Callithrix jacchus: one gene and its partners. The main gene of each other region encodes a partner of the protein of the gene in region 2 in a complex. Links are inferred from orthologs where the notes say so. Each region holds a gene or a part of one and is shown on either strand. Other genes may lie near its edges. The genes, in order: ARPC4, ACTR3 and ARPC1B.

Evidence for each region.
Region 1: the proteins of ACTR3 (region 2) and ARPC4 are in contact, whole or in part, in a cryo-EM structure (PDB 6YW6), measured with the Homo sapiens proteins. The link is inferred for Callithrix jacchus from reciprocal best matches to the Homo sapiens genes ACTR3 and ARPC4. Residues at the interface, in NP_005712.1 of Homo sapiens: Lys53, Gly54, Val55, Leu58, Glu121, Glu124, Tyr125, Glu128, Glu132, Tyr400, Glu401, Pro405, Arg409; in NP_005709.1 of Homo sapiens: Lys89, Arg92, Phe93, Met96, Arg97, Glu99, Asn100, Arg156, Ile159.
Region 3: ACTR3 (region 2) and ARPC1B share a complex: the UniProt entries of both Homo sapiens proteins name them as parts of the arp2/3 complex. The link is inferred for Callithrix jacchus from reciprocal best matches to the Homo sapiens genes ACTR3 and ARPC1B.

Annotation. Positions count from the first base shown.
Region 1 is NC_133516.1:66,962,839-66,967,326, reverse strand, and holds part of ARPC4 (actin-related protein 2/3 complex subunit 4), read right to left. Parts: intron 3,672-4,488; coding exon 3,560-3,671; intron 2,400-3,559; coding exon 2,304-2,399; intron 826-2,303; coding exon 655-825; intron 1-654. UniProt on the Homo sapiens protein: Actin-binding component of the Arp2/3 complex, a multiprotein complex that mediates actin polymerization upon stimulation by nucleation-promoting factor (NPF).
Region 2 is NC_133507.1:98,527,310-98,531,897, reverse strand, and holds the start of ACTR3 (actin-related protein 3), read right to left. Parts: upstream 3,052-4,588; 5' UTR 2,842-3,051; coding exon 2,798-2,841; intron 2,511-2,797; exon of another isoform or gene 2,344-2,510; intron 1-2,343. UniProt on the Homo sapiens protein: ATP-binding component of the Arp2/3 complex, a multiprotein complex that mediates actin polymerization upon stimulation by nucleation-promoting factor (NPF).
Region 3 is NC_133503.1:14,205,878-14,210,465, forward strand, and holds the start of ARPC1B (actin-related protein 2/3 complex subunit 1B), read right to left. Parts: upstream 2,710-4,588; 5' UTR 2,658-2,709; intron 1-2,657. UniProt on the Homo sapiens protein: Component of the Arp2/3 complex, a multiprotein complex that mediates actin polymerization upon stimulation by nucleation-promoting factor (NPF).

The DNA of each region.
Region 1 (4,488 bases), on a different chromosome or scaffold from region 2:
GGGTAGAACATGCCAACAAACCAAAGATTGTTTAGAAAAGTAGAAAAAAAAAGAAGGCATGTCTTGAATATCTAAACAACTAAGAACTATGTCATCAGTTACCAATGTAAATAATTCCACCTCTTCATATGACTACAGTCCTTTCGATTAGAAAGGCATAAACAATATAAGAGGAATCTGGAGGACTTAGGCCATGCAAGTGATGGAAAACAGGTTGAAGGAATCATGACTTTAAGCCTAAGAAACAGACGCTAAGGAAAGTACTGATGTCTATTTGAGAAGTGGAATTATACCATGATTAACTGTCCTATATTCCGGGAAAATTCACATGCAGACTTCACTTGCCTCACTTAGGGTTTGAACTAGATAGAGGTAAGGACTTTATGAACATCCTGAGATATAGAAATGAGTGTCCAAGTTCCTACAAGAGACTAAGAGACATCCTAGACACCCAAAAATACAGAAAATGCCTGTAGCGCTCAGAGATGAACCTGGGGCCTTCTAGCTCCAAAGCACCTGAGCAACCTGCTGTGTTCTAGGGGTTCCAAAGATATAAACACACTGCTAGCACCCCTTTCCCACCAGGTGCTAAGTTCTCAACATGACTCCAGATCCTTCAGCCTCTGGAAGGAAAGCAGAAAAGCCTATACTCACATTCTTAAGGAACTCCTCAGCCACAATGCGGGCACGGGCATTGACTGACAGCTTCATTTCACTGATCTCCTTGTCAATCTCCTCCATGAAGTGGATCACAAAGTCCACCAACTTGTGTTTGTACATCTGCTCTGTGTGGAAGTTGGTGATCAGAAAGCTGATGTCATACCCCTAGGAAAGAAGACAGCAGGGAGGAAGAAGGGAAGGAACAGGAGAGAATTAGCACCCCAGGGGAAGTGAGCTGGTCATGTCCTCCACTCATTCACATGTTTCTCACTGGCTGTGATCTTCTCCCAAGCTACACACCCTTCCAGTCAGCAGCCCACCTGCTCTGGGGAAGGGCGTGTAGGTTGGATCCAAGCAACTCAATCCAGTTGAGAATTCTGTGTGTATCAGACATCTCTGGAAGACTATCTGTGGCACAAACAACTCTACATTCAGAATGAGTCAAGGCACTTGAAGTCTTGTTACAGAAGAATCTAATCAAACAACAGGGAACATTTAGTCCAGAAAAGAGATGATGTGGAAGATGAGTGGGATTAAGGTATTTTTTCTGCTGGAGGCGTATGTGAGGAAGAGGAATTTTATTTACTCCAGGTGGCCAAAGAGGTTAGATCTAGGACCGGGAGAGAAAAATTTGGCTCAGGATGAGGAAGAACTTGGCCAACATGCCTGATGTATCTGATGATGGCATATCCTGCTGTGTGGTAGTTGTGGGGATGCTTTAAGTTAAGTTGGTAAGGAGTCTGTGGAGGAGGGTCAAGTACAAAGTCAGGCAACAACTGACCCAGTGTTAACTGTGGCTTTAAGAGACTATGATTCACTTTAGGAGGCCGAGATGGGTGGATCACCTGAGGTCACGAGACCAGCCTGACCAACATGATGAAACCCCATCTCTACTAAAATTACAAAATTAACCAGGCACGGTAGCACATGGTAGCTACTCAGGAGGCTGAGGCAGGAGAAATGGTTTGAACCTGGGAGGCAGAGGTTTCAGTGAGTCGAGATCACATCATTGTACTCCAGCCTGGGCAACAAGAGCAAAACTCCAACGACAATAACAACAACAAAATCACTGTGCTCTTTCTGCTGCTAGACTGTAGGCTCTGGGAATAAGCAATGTATCTTATATTTTTTGCCTTTTCCTTTTTCTTTTTTTAGATGGAGTCTCACTCTGTCACCCAGGCTGCGTGCAGTGGCACAATCTCGGCTCACTGTAACTTCTGCTTCCCGGGTTGAAGCAATTCTCTGCCTCAGCCTCCCGAGTAGCTGGAATTACAGGTGCCCGCCATCACACTGGGCTTATTTTTATATTTTTAGTATAGATGGGATGGCACCATCTTGGCCAGGCTGGTCTTGAACTCCTGACCTCATGATCCACCCTCCTCGGCCTCCCAAAGTGTTGGGATTACAGGCATGAGCCACCACTCCTGGTCCTTTTTTGCCTTTTGTATGGCTGAGGTAGACCCAACTTTTCCTAGGCTTCTGATCCTCTTGGTTCCCACTCCAGCTGAGATGAAGGCCAACTCTCAGTTCAGGCGGTGGTGCCAAACAGCTGGAAGAGCAGCAATCCAGGTTCTAGAAACAATTCCAGGCCATTCTGTAGCAGGATCCTGGGTATTGCAAATTCATGGGTCACAAGGTCTCACCTCCACAGGCTTTCTTCGAAGGATGAAGAAGTTTTCTGCTCGCATCATCATGAAGCGCATGAATTTGTGGCATAAAATCTTCTCAATCTCATCGGCCTGGGAAATAAAAGGGAGAAACATTTCTCTAAAGCCGACACCCAAGCCAAAAATACCCTGTAGCCTGGTCTTCTGACTCCAATTTCTCCAAAGCTCCCAGGAGACAGTGAGGTTTGGTACTCGGAAGGATCACTGAAGTGAGGGACCTGGCTGCCAACTGAAACAAGGGTCTATCTTGGGGCATCTCTTAATGAGGACCCATTCCAGAGAGGTAATTCTGGCAAACAGAGTCTTTTATGGCTTCTTTACGAGTCTACAGCGATACGCCAAGCTGCCCTTCTCATTCCCACTTCACTAGTGTTACATTTCCCAGGGTGTGTCGCAGCACCACCTGGGCTATCAGAGATAACTTTAGGTGGTCTCTGCTTTATAACACTGAACATCCAACAATCTCTGAAGTTTCTCCCTTCTGAACTCTCAACATTTCTTTTTTTTTTTTTTTTGAGATGGAGTCTCCCTCTGTTGCCCAGGCTGGAGTGCAGTGGCACAATCTCAGCCCACTGCAACCTCCACCTCCCAGGTCCAAGTGATTCTTGTGCCTCAACCTCCCAAGTAGCTGGGATTACAGGCACGTGCCACCGTACCCGGCCCTGAACGCTCAACATTTGTAAAGAAAGACTTCTGCAGCTGGTTGCTAGTATGCCTTAACACCTCCCAACACTTGTTAATCTCCCATTCTAACAAAGAAAGCAGGCCCCAGGGTTAGAACTTTCTGTAGAACACAGTATGTAGTCTGCATTTAATAATGCTGTTTTGTTTTTATCCTGTTGACAATTTAGAGTTGCCCACTACTGGCTGGGCATGGTGATTCATGCCTGTAATCCCAGCACTTTGGGAGGCTGAGGCAGGCAGATCTCCTGCGGTCAGGAGATTGAGTCCATCCTGACCAACATGGTGAAACCCCATCTCTACTAAAAATACAAAAATTAGATGGACATGTTGGTGGGCGCCTATAATCCCAGCTACTCAGGAGGCTGAGGCAGGAGAATTGCTTGAACCTGGGAGGCAGAAGTTGCAGTGAGCCAAGATCTTGCCACTGCACTCCAGCCTAGGCAACAAGAGTGAGCCTCCATCTGAATGTGGCACGCTGATCTCTCAGATGGGGACCCCTGGATTGAAAGTGAGGTCCTTATGTTACGTCTCTTACAAGGTGACCTTACCTGTTTCACAGCAATGCTGACCCGGACAGAGTTGATGGAGCCCTCAATCAGAACCTTTTCCTTCTCATTCCTGCTGATGGTCACAGGTTGTAACAGGAGTTCTTTGCTACTCCTGAAAACACAATGTCACAGAGTACTCTGTACTATAGAGGGACACAACAGTCAGAGTGACCCCACAGCAAGTCCTGGAATCACTATGACACCATGGAGTCCAAGGAATAGAAGACTCACAAGCAGAAGTGCTCCAAGATGGGGACCAGTGAGTGTGTTCTTCAGCAGAAAGAGCACAGGCTCTGAAGTCAGAGCGAAAAGGTTTTGAAATCCAGCCTCCTCTGTTACTTTCCTGGGCAAGTTACCCTGTTGGAATCTCAATTTTCTCATCTGTAAAATGACTCTGATTCCTATTTCATTGGCAAGGACTGAGAGAGATCAAAAAAGGGTCAGGTATCTAATAGCGTGCCTGGCACATAGTAGGAGCTTTACAAAGGACAGCTGATTTTAGTAACTACAAGTTAAATATCCCCAATCTGTAAATCTGAAATCCAAAATCTGAAACTGGCTGGGCACAGTAGCTCATCCCTGTAACTCCAGCACTTTGGGAGGCTGAGGCAGGTGGATCACTTGAGGTCAGGGGTTTGAGACCAGCCTGGCCAACATGGTGAAATCCCATCTCTACTAAAAACATAAAAATTAGCCAGGTGTGGTGGCACACCCCTATAACCCCAGCTTCTCAGGAGGCTGAGGCACAAGAATTGCTTGAACTCAGGAGGTGGCAGCTGCAATGAGCCAAGATTACACCACTTTACTCCAGCTTGAGCGACAGAATACGACTCTATCTCAAAAAAAAAAAAATCTGAAAGTTTCTGAGTGCTGACAAGATGCTCAAAGGAGATGCTCACTGGAGCATTTGGATTTGGAATTAGGAATGC
Region 2 (4,588 bases):
TTTTTAAGCAATCAATGGGAAGCTATGTGCTCAAATCGTATTTTACAATGCTTTCCAATCCAGACCAAGAAAGTGTGTAGGTAAGGCTATCAATGTGAATGAAGGAAGTATTCCTTTTCAAATTCTTTTCAAAATAAGTATTCTCTTTTATGACCTGAATCTACGAGATTCATATGTTGAGTTTTGCTGGACAATCCCTAACAGTTTTGGGATTAAGTTTCAAGTCTCCTAACTCTTAACAGCCTTCTTATCTAAGACAATCAAGTTTTACAGATGACCATTTTTTTTATCAGCCACCTTTTCCCTAATTTATATAATGAATAAAATGAACGACCTGATTCAGGTTATAATTTTTTGCTTAAACTAAGTGGGCAATTGTAATCTAGAGACTTAAGAGCTGAATGCATTCTCTAAAGCATAAAGAAATAGACAAATTATAGGTGCACAATTTGCATTCGGGGACCACAGAATTTTGAAATGTAAAAATTCCCTATTAAGGCCATACTTAGAGATGCTTATCTCAGGGGCCCAACCTCAAGGACTTATCCATGTGTTAATAAAGTTGAAGGTGTAACTTTCCTGGAAGAACCACTGGCAACTTAAGAGACCAAAAAGCCTTTTGAGGACCAAAATAACTGAAACTCTAAAGGAAGATTTTCAGGTAGTGACAAATTGTAAAAGAGAGTGAGCTGGCAAAGGGACTCCTAATCAGTTCCATTAAAATCATGAATGCAGTTAGCAACCTCTCCTTGTCGGGGAAACCAATGTAATAATGTAAAAATATACTACTGTAAAAATCAAAATTTTAAAACAGACATATCCTAGATTAAACTGAACCCCTCTCCCTGATCCTACTGGTCATTCAGCATGTTTTAAATTCAAGGTTGCCCTTTAGGAAAGGAGGTCACTTAAGGACAGTTAACCTCAATGAGACATCTAGTATACTAATTTGAAACTATTTCAAAAGGGAAAAAATGGAAAGAATAAAAGTAACATACTACTTGAGATGTTACCATAGTCTTTCTTAGGGCCACAATTATTTACACTATTTTTATTGACAACTCAGTAATTTCTAAAACATTAATTATGTAGCCATATTGTCACTTCAACAAAACATATTGGAAAAGTCCTACTGACTCAGGTCAAATCTAATTTTAAAACTGAACCTAGACATAAAACTACTCACCAATTAAACGAAGAAGGGAGAAAGAAAAAATATTATTGGTTCAGAGAAATGAGACTGGATTAAGAAGAAACTAATCAAGTGTTCATCAAAAAAATACATAGATGTTCCAAAGCTCATCTAGGCTAGTGTTTTCCTGGGGAGAATATTAAGTTGGTTGTTTCTCTACCTGACTGTGATTTTAGAAACTGCCACACTAGCTAGTTATGAGAATGAAGATTAAAGAAATTTTACATGGAATAAAGAGTGAAAGACATACAATCTTTTAAGGAACAATAATGAATATTATTAATAATTATGATTAACAATAATTTTTTTAAAAGCCTTGCAGTCCACCTCTCACGCCTTCCCCCTCAAAAATAAAACTGGGAGTGTTTGGGAATTAGAGCGATGTAATCACAGAAAAAAGAAAACAGTTTCCTATATGTCATCGTGAAGCAGTGATTCTACATTAAAATAAAAGTAGCCTATTCTCTATGTAGTTATACAAAGTGTGGTACAACTCTCTAAAATGTCTATTAATACAAAATGAATGACCACTTTAAAGCCATTCTATATTTTAGCAAACAGCTCTACAGATCTAAGAGTAACTATGTGCAACTTAAACACATTCCTATATACCTCTATACCTTCCTTCCTCCTTCCTTCAAGATACCATCAGAGAAGGAACGTATGCAACTTAAATTATTTTCCAGGGTGTTTCCTTTCTCCCCTCTCCATGAAACACAAGTACATTTTTTTAAGTTACATGAATGAATACCAAGCACCGTTAATTCCGTCTCTTTAAAACCTGCTTAATTTTAAAAGTACTAATAAGTTGTGTTCAGGTTGGAAACGAAAAACTACCTTATAAGGGTATAAAAGACTGAAAGCAGGAAGCGGCTTTGACAAAACTAAGGAAGTTGCAGCGCGCTTGCTCACTGGGGGACTTTTTTGAGGCTACAGAAGTAACACATGACATTTTTCTCTCTCGAATTAAAATGTGACTTGGTTCACCGGTTAAAATGCAGAGGGAGATGGAAATGACCGGGAGTCGAAAAGAGAAGGTGGGTGGTCAAATGAAAGCCCCGCTGTAGGTTCCCATTTTCAGAGTCCGATTCTTCCCCTTCCCCACCCACACCCTGGGCAGAGTGTTGTCACAGCGATCTTGCAAAACCTACCAGGAGCGCTTCTCTTTTCTAGCTCCTCTGCCAGGCCAGTCCCCGAGCACGGCCCCTGGGCCCCCAAACCCACGGGGAAAAGGGGCGCGGAAGGAAAGGAAAGCCGGATGGGTTGGGCCCGGGGACCACCCCCAAAGCGACCGTCCCCAGCACTCTTTGGGCGGCACAGCCCACCGCAGTGGGGGAAGGGCCGGGGGGGGTCGCGCGGAGGAAGCCGCTGGGAGGGTTGGAGGTTGAATCTCGGGCCTGCGCCCCCGCCCCAGTCCTAGGAGGGAGAAACTAGGGGACCGGCGAGGCCCTGGCTCCGGGCCCCACCCCTTGCTAGCCGCCGGGGCTAGGACTGACAGCCGGCGGCGGCACCTTGCCGCACCATTCATTTCCCGGTCTCCTCCCTCCCCCGCCATTTTCCTTCCTCCGCCTCAGTTTCCCCACCCCCGCCCGTCAGCCCCCTTACCCCGTGCCACAGTCCACTACACAGGCCGGCAGCCGTCCCGCCATCTTCCTCCTAGCCTGCTGCTGCTGCTGCCGCCGTCTGCTCCGTGCTGTTAGGGGCCAGAGATTGGCGGCGGGAGACAGGCGCTATCTGACCATCCACAGCCGGGCCGCCCTCACCGTCCGGGGGGTAGCCGGGAAGCCGAAGCAGTAGCAAGAAAGCAGCAGGCTCGGTCAGCGGCTATCACTTCCGCAACCCGGGCAGGCAGGCAGTCCCCGCCCTGCCCCGCCGCGGCCTCCTCCCCCTCTCTCTTCCCTCCTCCTCACTCCTGCCCCCACCCTACAACTTCTTCCCCTCACGCCGCCTTTCCCCGGGAAGCCAAGATGGCCGCCGGTGCCGACGCCCGGGCCCGGCCAGGCTCAGGCCCGGAGAGCTCCCCCTTCCGCTCCGAGCGGGAGGGGCCAGCGAGCATGCGCAATAAGGTACGTTCGCCTGCCCGGGCTCCGATCCCGAAGTTAGTGAAATCCACTGCGAGTTTTCCAGGAGGATAGAGGCGAAGTCTAGCCGAGCTTCTAGTTCTGCTTCTGAAGCTGGAAGGGGCTTTTCGGTTGCAGCCCTTGGGTTAGTTTCAGTTGCTTCTTTGCTAGATTGGGGAAAGAGTGGAAGCGCCTCCTGCAGCCGCGAATATCCTACAGGTCCTGGGAGAAAGCGGTCTAATCGAAAACGTCTGCGGCATGCATCCATTCTTAAAACTTGAGTGGCTGCTTTTCTGGGTGGAAAAGAGCGGTATCAGGGTGAGCAGTCGGGGAATGGATGAACAAAGACTTGTCACCGTGGTCCTTAGGCCTTTGTTGCGGGTTTTATTCAGTTGTACTTGTGCATTGTTACAGGACTTTAGAATGTAGCCCTGCTCCCCAACCTCCACCTCCCAGGGCTGACCTGGGTCCCTAAGGAAGGCAAACCTCCCAGGAATGTATTCTACATAGTATACGCCATCCAAATAGGTCTTTATTCAAGGCTTTTAGATTATGACAACGATTCCCCTCAGGAGTAGTAAGAGTCTACTAGCAGTATAATAGAAAGGATTAAGGGCACTCCCCCCCCCAAAAAAAGTTTTAAGTTAAAAACGGAGGCCGGCCACAGTGGGTCATGCCTGTAATTTCAATCCTTTAGAAGGCCAAAGTGGAAGAATAGGAGAGCTTAAGGCTAGGAGTTCGAGACCAGCCTGGGCAACATAGGGAGGACCCCCCACAACCATCACTCCAAAAAAAAAAAAAAAAAGAAAACTGGAAAGCCTTAAAGAAACCTTTCAAACTTTAGTGTGTATCAGAATCACCTCAAAGGTTTGTTAAAACAGATTGCTGGGCCACACCCCAGCAATTAGAAATTCACATTTCTAATAAGTTCCTAGTTCCACTTTAGAAACCTAGAAGGTTAATATCATTCCTCTCCACCAAGATTTTCTTATGATAAACCATTCTGAGTTTACTAATGTGAAGCTAAAATAAAAATATTTTTTAGAAGGAGGGATATATTATTCAGTCCATAAAATCGTGTAGTGTGGTATTAAGCTGGCCTGGGAAATGGAATTGGGTGTTTCATTTATTCATTTGACAGGTAAGTATTGCTTACCTACTCTATTATGGCAGGGACTCTGCTGACTCTGAATATTCCCTGGGATGGAAAATAGTTAAGGTCTTTTGTAGAGTTTACAGATTAGCGGGAAACAGACAAATTGTGTTAAGTGCAATAGAAAGAAGAGAACTGAGGACTCTGAGAAATGAGGGCGAGGAGTGGGAGAATGGAAGGAAG
Region 3 (4,588 bases), on a different chromosome or scaffold from region 2:
CTCCCCAACTCTGCTCCTGAAGTCTTAGCAACCACACAAATCAAGTCAGAAACACTCATGCAAACAATCCTAAGACACCATTAAAGCACCAGTTAGAGTCATCCAAAGAAAACAAAAACCGAAAACATAAAATTCAATGCTGGCAGAGCTGTGGAGAAATTGCTATTTGTTGTTAATTGGATTAATTACTCTGAAGGGCACCCAATTCAACAAGTGGGTGGGAACAAATAAATATTAATAGAACAGAATTAACAGGAACTTGAAAATAAGCATTCTTTGGTCACATACATCCATTCTGTTACTAAGAAAAGAGCAGGCCGCGTGGTGGCTCAAGCCTGTAATCCCAGCACTTTGGGAGGCCGAGGCGGGTGGATCACGAGGTCAAGAGATTGAGACCATCCTGGGTCAACATGGTGAAACCCCGTCCCTACTAAAAATACAAAAAAAATTAGCTGGGCATGGTGACGCGTGCCTGTAATCCCAGCTACTCAGGAGGCTGAGGCAGGAGAACTGCCTGAACCCAGGAGGTGGAGGTTGCGGTGAGGCGAGATCGTGCCATTGCACTCCAGCCGTCTCAAAAAAAAAAAAAGACTTATCAAATCAGACGTGAAGGCTCATGCCTGTAACCTCAGCAATTTAGGAGGCCGAGGCAGGAAGATTGCTTAAGGCTAGGAGTTTGAGGCTAGCCTGGACAACATAGCAAAACCCCATCTCTACTAAACATTTAAAAATTAGCTTGGCATGGACGCACATGCCTGTAATCCCAGCTACTCAGGAGGATGCCTTGAGCCCAGGAGTTTGAGGCTGCAGTGAGCTATCATCGAGCCATGGTACTGCAGCCTGGGCGACACAGTGAGACCCTGATTCCAGAAAAAAAGAAAAAGACCTCTCAATGGATTATGTACAGACATATGTAAGAAATCAACTTTGCTGGCATTTGTCAGTGCCTTGATTTTACCCAGAACTTTCACGATTCTCTTTTACCCTCTGAAGCAAGCCTGAGACATTTTTTGTTTGCTTTTTACCTTCAGTTTGTACAGGAGGAAACCCAAGCTCAGAAAAAAGCAATGATTTGCTCAAAGCCACCCAGCTCCTAGTAAATGACACAGCTTGGGACTCTGGCCCCAAATCTTGGAGGCCAGGAAGTTGGATTCACCTGGGAGGACACTATGATCACGGTGAGCAGGCCTTATAATGGCAGCAAGCCCACGTTCATACTGTCAGCGCCTGACACACTGCCAAGTGTCTGGTAGTATTGCCTTTCAGACTCACAATCCTTAAGGTTCCCATTTTCCAGATTAGGAAAGTTGAGGCTGGCAGGGGTTGCGTGGCTTACCAAAATCATTGGCCAGTGAAGGGAGAAGCTGGCACTCTTACCTAGGTCCGTAATATTTTTTTATTTATTTAGAGACAGAGTCTCGCTCTGTTGCCCAGGCTGGAGTGCAGTGGGACAATCTCAGCTCACGGCAGCTTCCACCTCCTGGGTTCAAGGGATTCTTCTACCTCCGCCTCCCGAGTAGCTGGGATCACAGGCAGGGGCCACATACCTAGCTAACTTTTGTATTTTTAGTAGAGACGGGTTTTCACAATGTTGGCCAGGCTGGTCTCAAACTCCTGACCTCAAGTGATCTGTCTGCCTCCACCTCTCAAAGTACTGGGATTACTGGAGTGAGCCACCGCAACCGGCTACATTTTATTTATTTATTTTAATAGAGAAGGGTCTCGTAATGCTGTCCAGGCTGCCCTCCAACTCCTGGCCTCAAGTGATCTTCCCACCTGGGCCTCCCAAAATGATGATATTCCCGGTGTTAGCGACCGCGCCCAGTGAGATGGGTGGTGGCAACCCCTGGGCTGCACTGGCAGAGGAGGAAGGGGGAGGTCTGATTCCCCAGGGCTTGGGCTCCTGATCCCTTCACTGCCCCCGGGTGCAGCCCGGCCCAGGGCGGTCTGTCTGCTCTCCCTGTGCCTCCGGAAAGGGAGGGGCCGCTCGGATCCGCCTCGGCCGCGGAGCCCGGCAGCTCAGAGGGGTGCGTTTCGGGATCCCACCGGCTAGGCCCGCCCCGTAGGGGACCCCCTCGGACCTGGCCCGACGGAGGTGGGTGGGGGAAACAGGAGCGGCCGGGAGGGCAGGGGCGGGGCACCCAGAGGCGCCAGCTCATTTCCCGGCGGCTGCAACCCGGAAGGCTCCGGGGATGGAGGGGAAGTGACTGGGCGTGGGGCCCTGTCGTCCCGAAGTAACGGGGCGACACCGACCGACCTCGGGGCAAGGCCGGGGATGCGGGCCGGGAGGCGGGAGCGGAAGGCACGAAACGGACGCTCTGGCTGGGGCCGGGGGCTGGGGACGCCCCGAGGGCGCCCAGCGTGCGGGGAGCCCGCGTTATCCCCGCCCAGCCCTGGGGTCACCCCTGCGCGCCCTGCTCCCAGGGCTCTGTTTCCTCCCTGCGAGGCCCCCTCCCTCCGTGCGCCCCCACTCACCCCCGCACCCCTACTGGGCTGCGCCCCACATCCGTACGTCCCCCTCACTTCCAGGCGCCCCCCGCGCCCCCTCTCGCCCCTCCCGTCCTCCTCACTCCCAGGCGGCGCCACACATCCCCGCGTCCCCCCACCTCCGGACCGCTGCCCCGGCCCCCTCCTCCGTGCGCCCCCGCGGCCCTCACCTCCCGCGCCCCGGCCGCGGACTCTGGGCAGTCGACGCGCCGAACCGACTCTGGGCCCCGCGCGGCAGCCGCAGCCACTTCCTCGTGGGCGGGGGGCGGGGCCTCCCGACCTCAGCCCCGTAGGGCCCGGGGGCGGGAACCAGGGGCAGCGGTCGCGAGATCCAGGGTTCCGCCCTCCTTTCGGGGCCTGGGGGCTGCGGGGACCCGCGCGGGTGTCGAAACCCAAGGTTCTGTCCGCAGAAGCTGTCCACAACCACCCGTCAACGCTTTATCAATGGGGAAACTGAGGCTGGGAGCGAGACGCGCTGCCTGAGCCGCCGCTGGGCGGGATCTCCGAGCCGGTGCCGGGCGCGGGATATGGGAGTCGCGTCCTCTGAGCCCGGACGGCTGGGACCTCGGGCCATGCACGCAGGTGACCGAGCAGCTGGCGAGCCCTGCGGTCCAGTCCCCAGACTGCGAGGAGCCCCCTTCGCGCTGACGCCCGCGGGGCGCCAACTGGGCAGTCCCTGGGTGGACAGGGCGTGGCCAGAGCAGCCGGGCCCCGCCTCCTCGGCCCTTAGTGTCCTCACCACAAAACCCGGGTGCTCCCCCGGCCACGGGTGACACTGGCTGCCCCTGCTGACGCTGGCCGGCCAGCTGACTTCTTTCCCTTCTGTTTCTTTCCTTTTTTTGAGACGGATTCTCACTCTGTCACCAGGCTGGAGTGCAGTGGCACGATGTTGGCTGGCTGCAACCTCCGCCTCCTGGGTTCAAGCGATTCTCCTGCCTCAGCCTCCTAAGTAGCTGAGATTATAGGCATCCGCCACCACCCCCGGCTTTTGTTTTTTAGTAGAGATGGGGGGGGGGGGTTTCCCATGTTGGCCAGGCCAGTCTCGAACTCCTGACCTCGTGATCCACCCACTTCAGCTTTCCAAAGTGCTGTGATTACAGGCTTGAGCCACTGCGCCAGGCCTTTCCCCTTGTGTTCCACCACGGTCGGCTTCACTTCTTTAAGTTACCCAGTTAGCCTTGCAGCCACCTGATTGCTGGTCTTGGGCCAGGTGATTCCTGGAGTCTTCCCATCCTGACCCTCTGCCTCTTCACTGGAGACGTAGCCAGGCGGCCAGGCAGATGGAAGAGACTAGGATGAAAGCCTTCCCTTGGCAGGGCACGGTGGCTCACTCGTGTAATCCCAGCACTTTGGGAGGCCATGGTGGGTGGATCATGAGGTCAGGAGTTCCAGACCAGCCTGGCCAATATGGTGAAACCTCATCTATACTAAAAAATACAAAAATTAGGCCTCGGTGGCTCACACCTGTAATCCCAGCACTTTGGGAAGCCAAGTCAGGCAGATCCCGAGGTCAGGAGTTCAAGACCATCCTGGCCAAATGGTGAAACCCTGTCTCTACCAAAAAAAAAAAAAAATTAGGCTGGGCACAGTGGCTCACATCTGCAATCCCTGCACTTTGGGAGGCTGAGGTAGGCATATCATGAGGTCAGGAGATCGAGACCATCCTGGCCAACATGTTGAAACCCTGTTTCTACTAAAAATACAAAAATTACCTGGGCGCAGTGGTGTGCACCTGTAGTCCCAACTACCTAGAAGGCTGAGGCAGGAGAATCGCTTTAAATGGAGAGGCAGGGGTTGCAGTGAGCCAAGATCACACCACTGCACTCCAGCCTGGTGACAGAGCCAGACTCTGCCTCTTTTTCTTTTTTTCTTTCTTTTCTTTTCATTTTTTTTTTCTTTCTTTTTTTTTTTTTTTTTTTTTTTTTTTTGCTAGCACAGAAATAACTTTATTCCAGATGACACTCTGTCACAAAAAAAAAAAAAAAAAAAAAAAAAAAAGCTGGGCGTGGTGGAGGCAGCCTGTAGTCCCAGATAATGGGGGCTGAGACAGGAGAATCACTTGAACCCGGGAGGCAGAGGTTGTAGAGCTGAGATCTTGCCC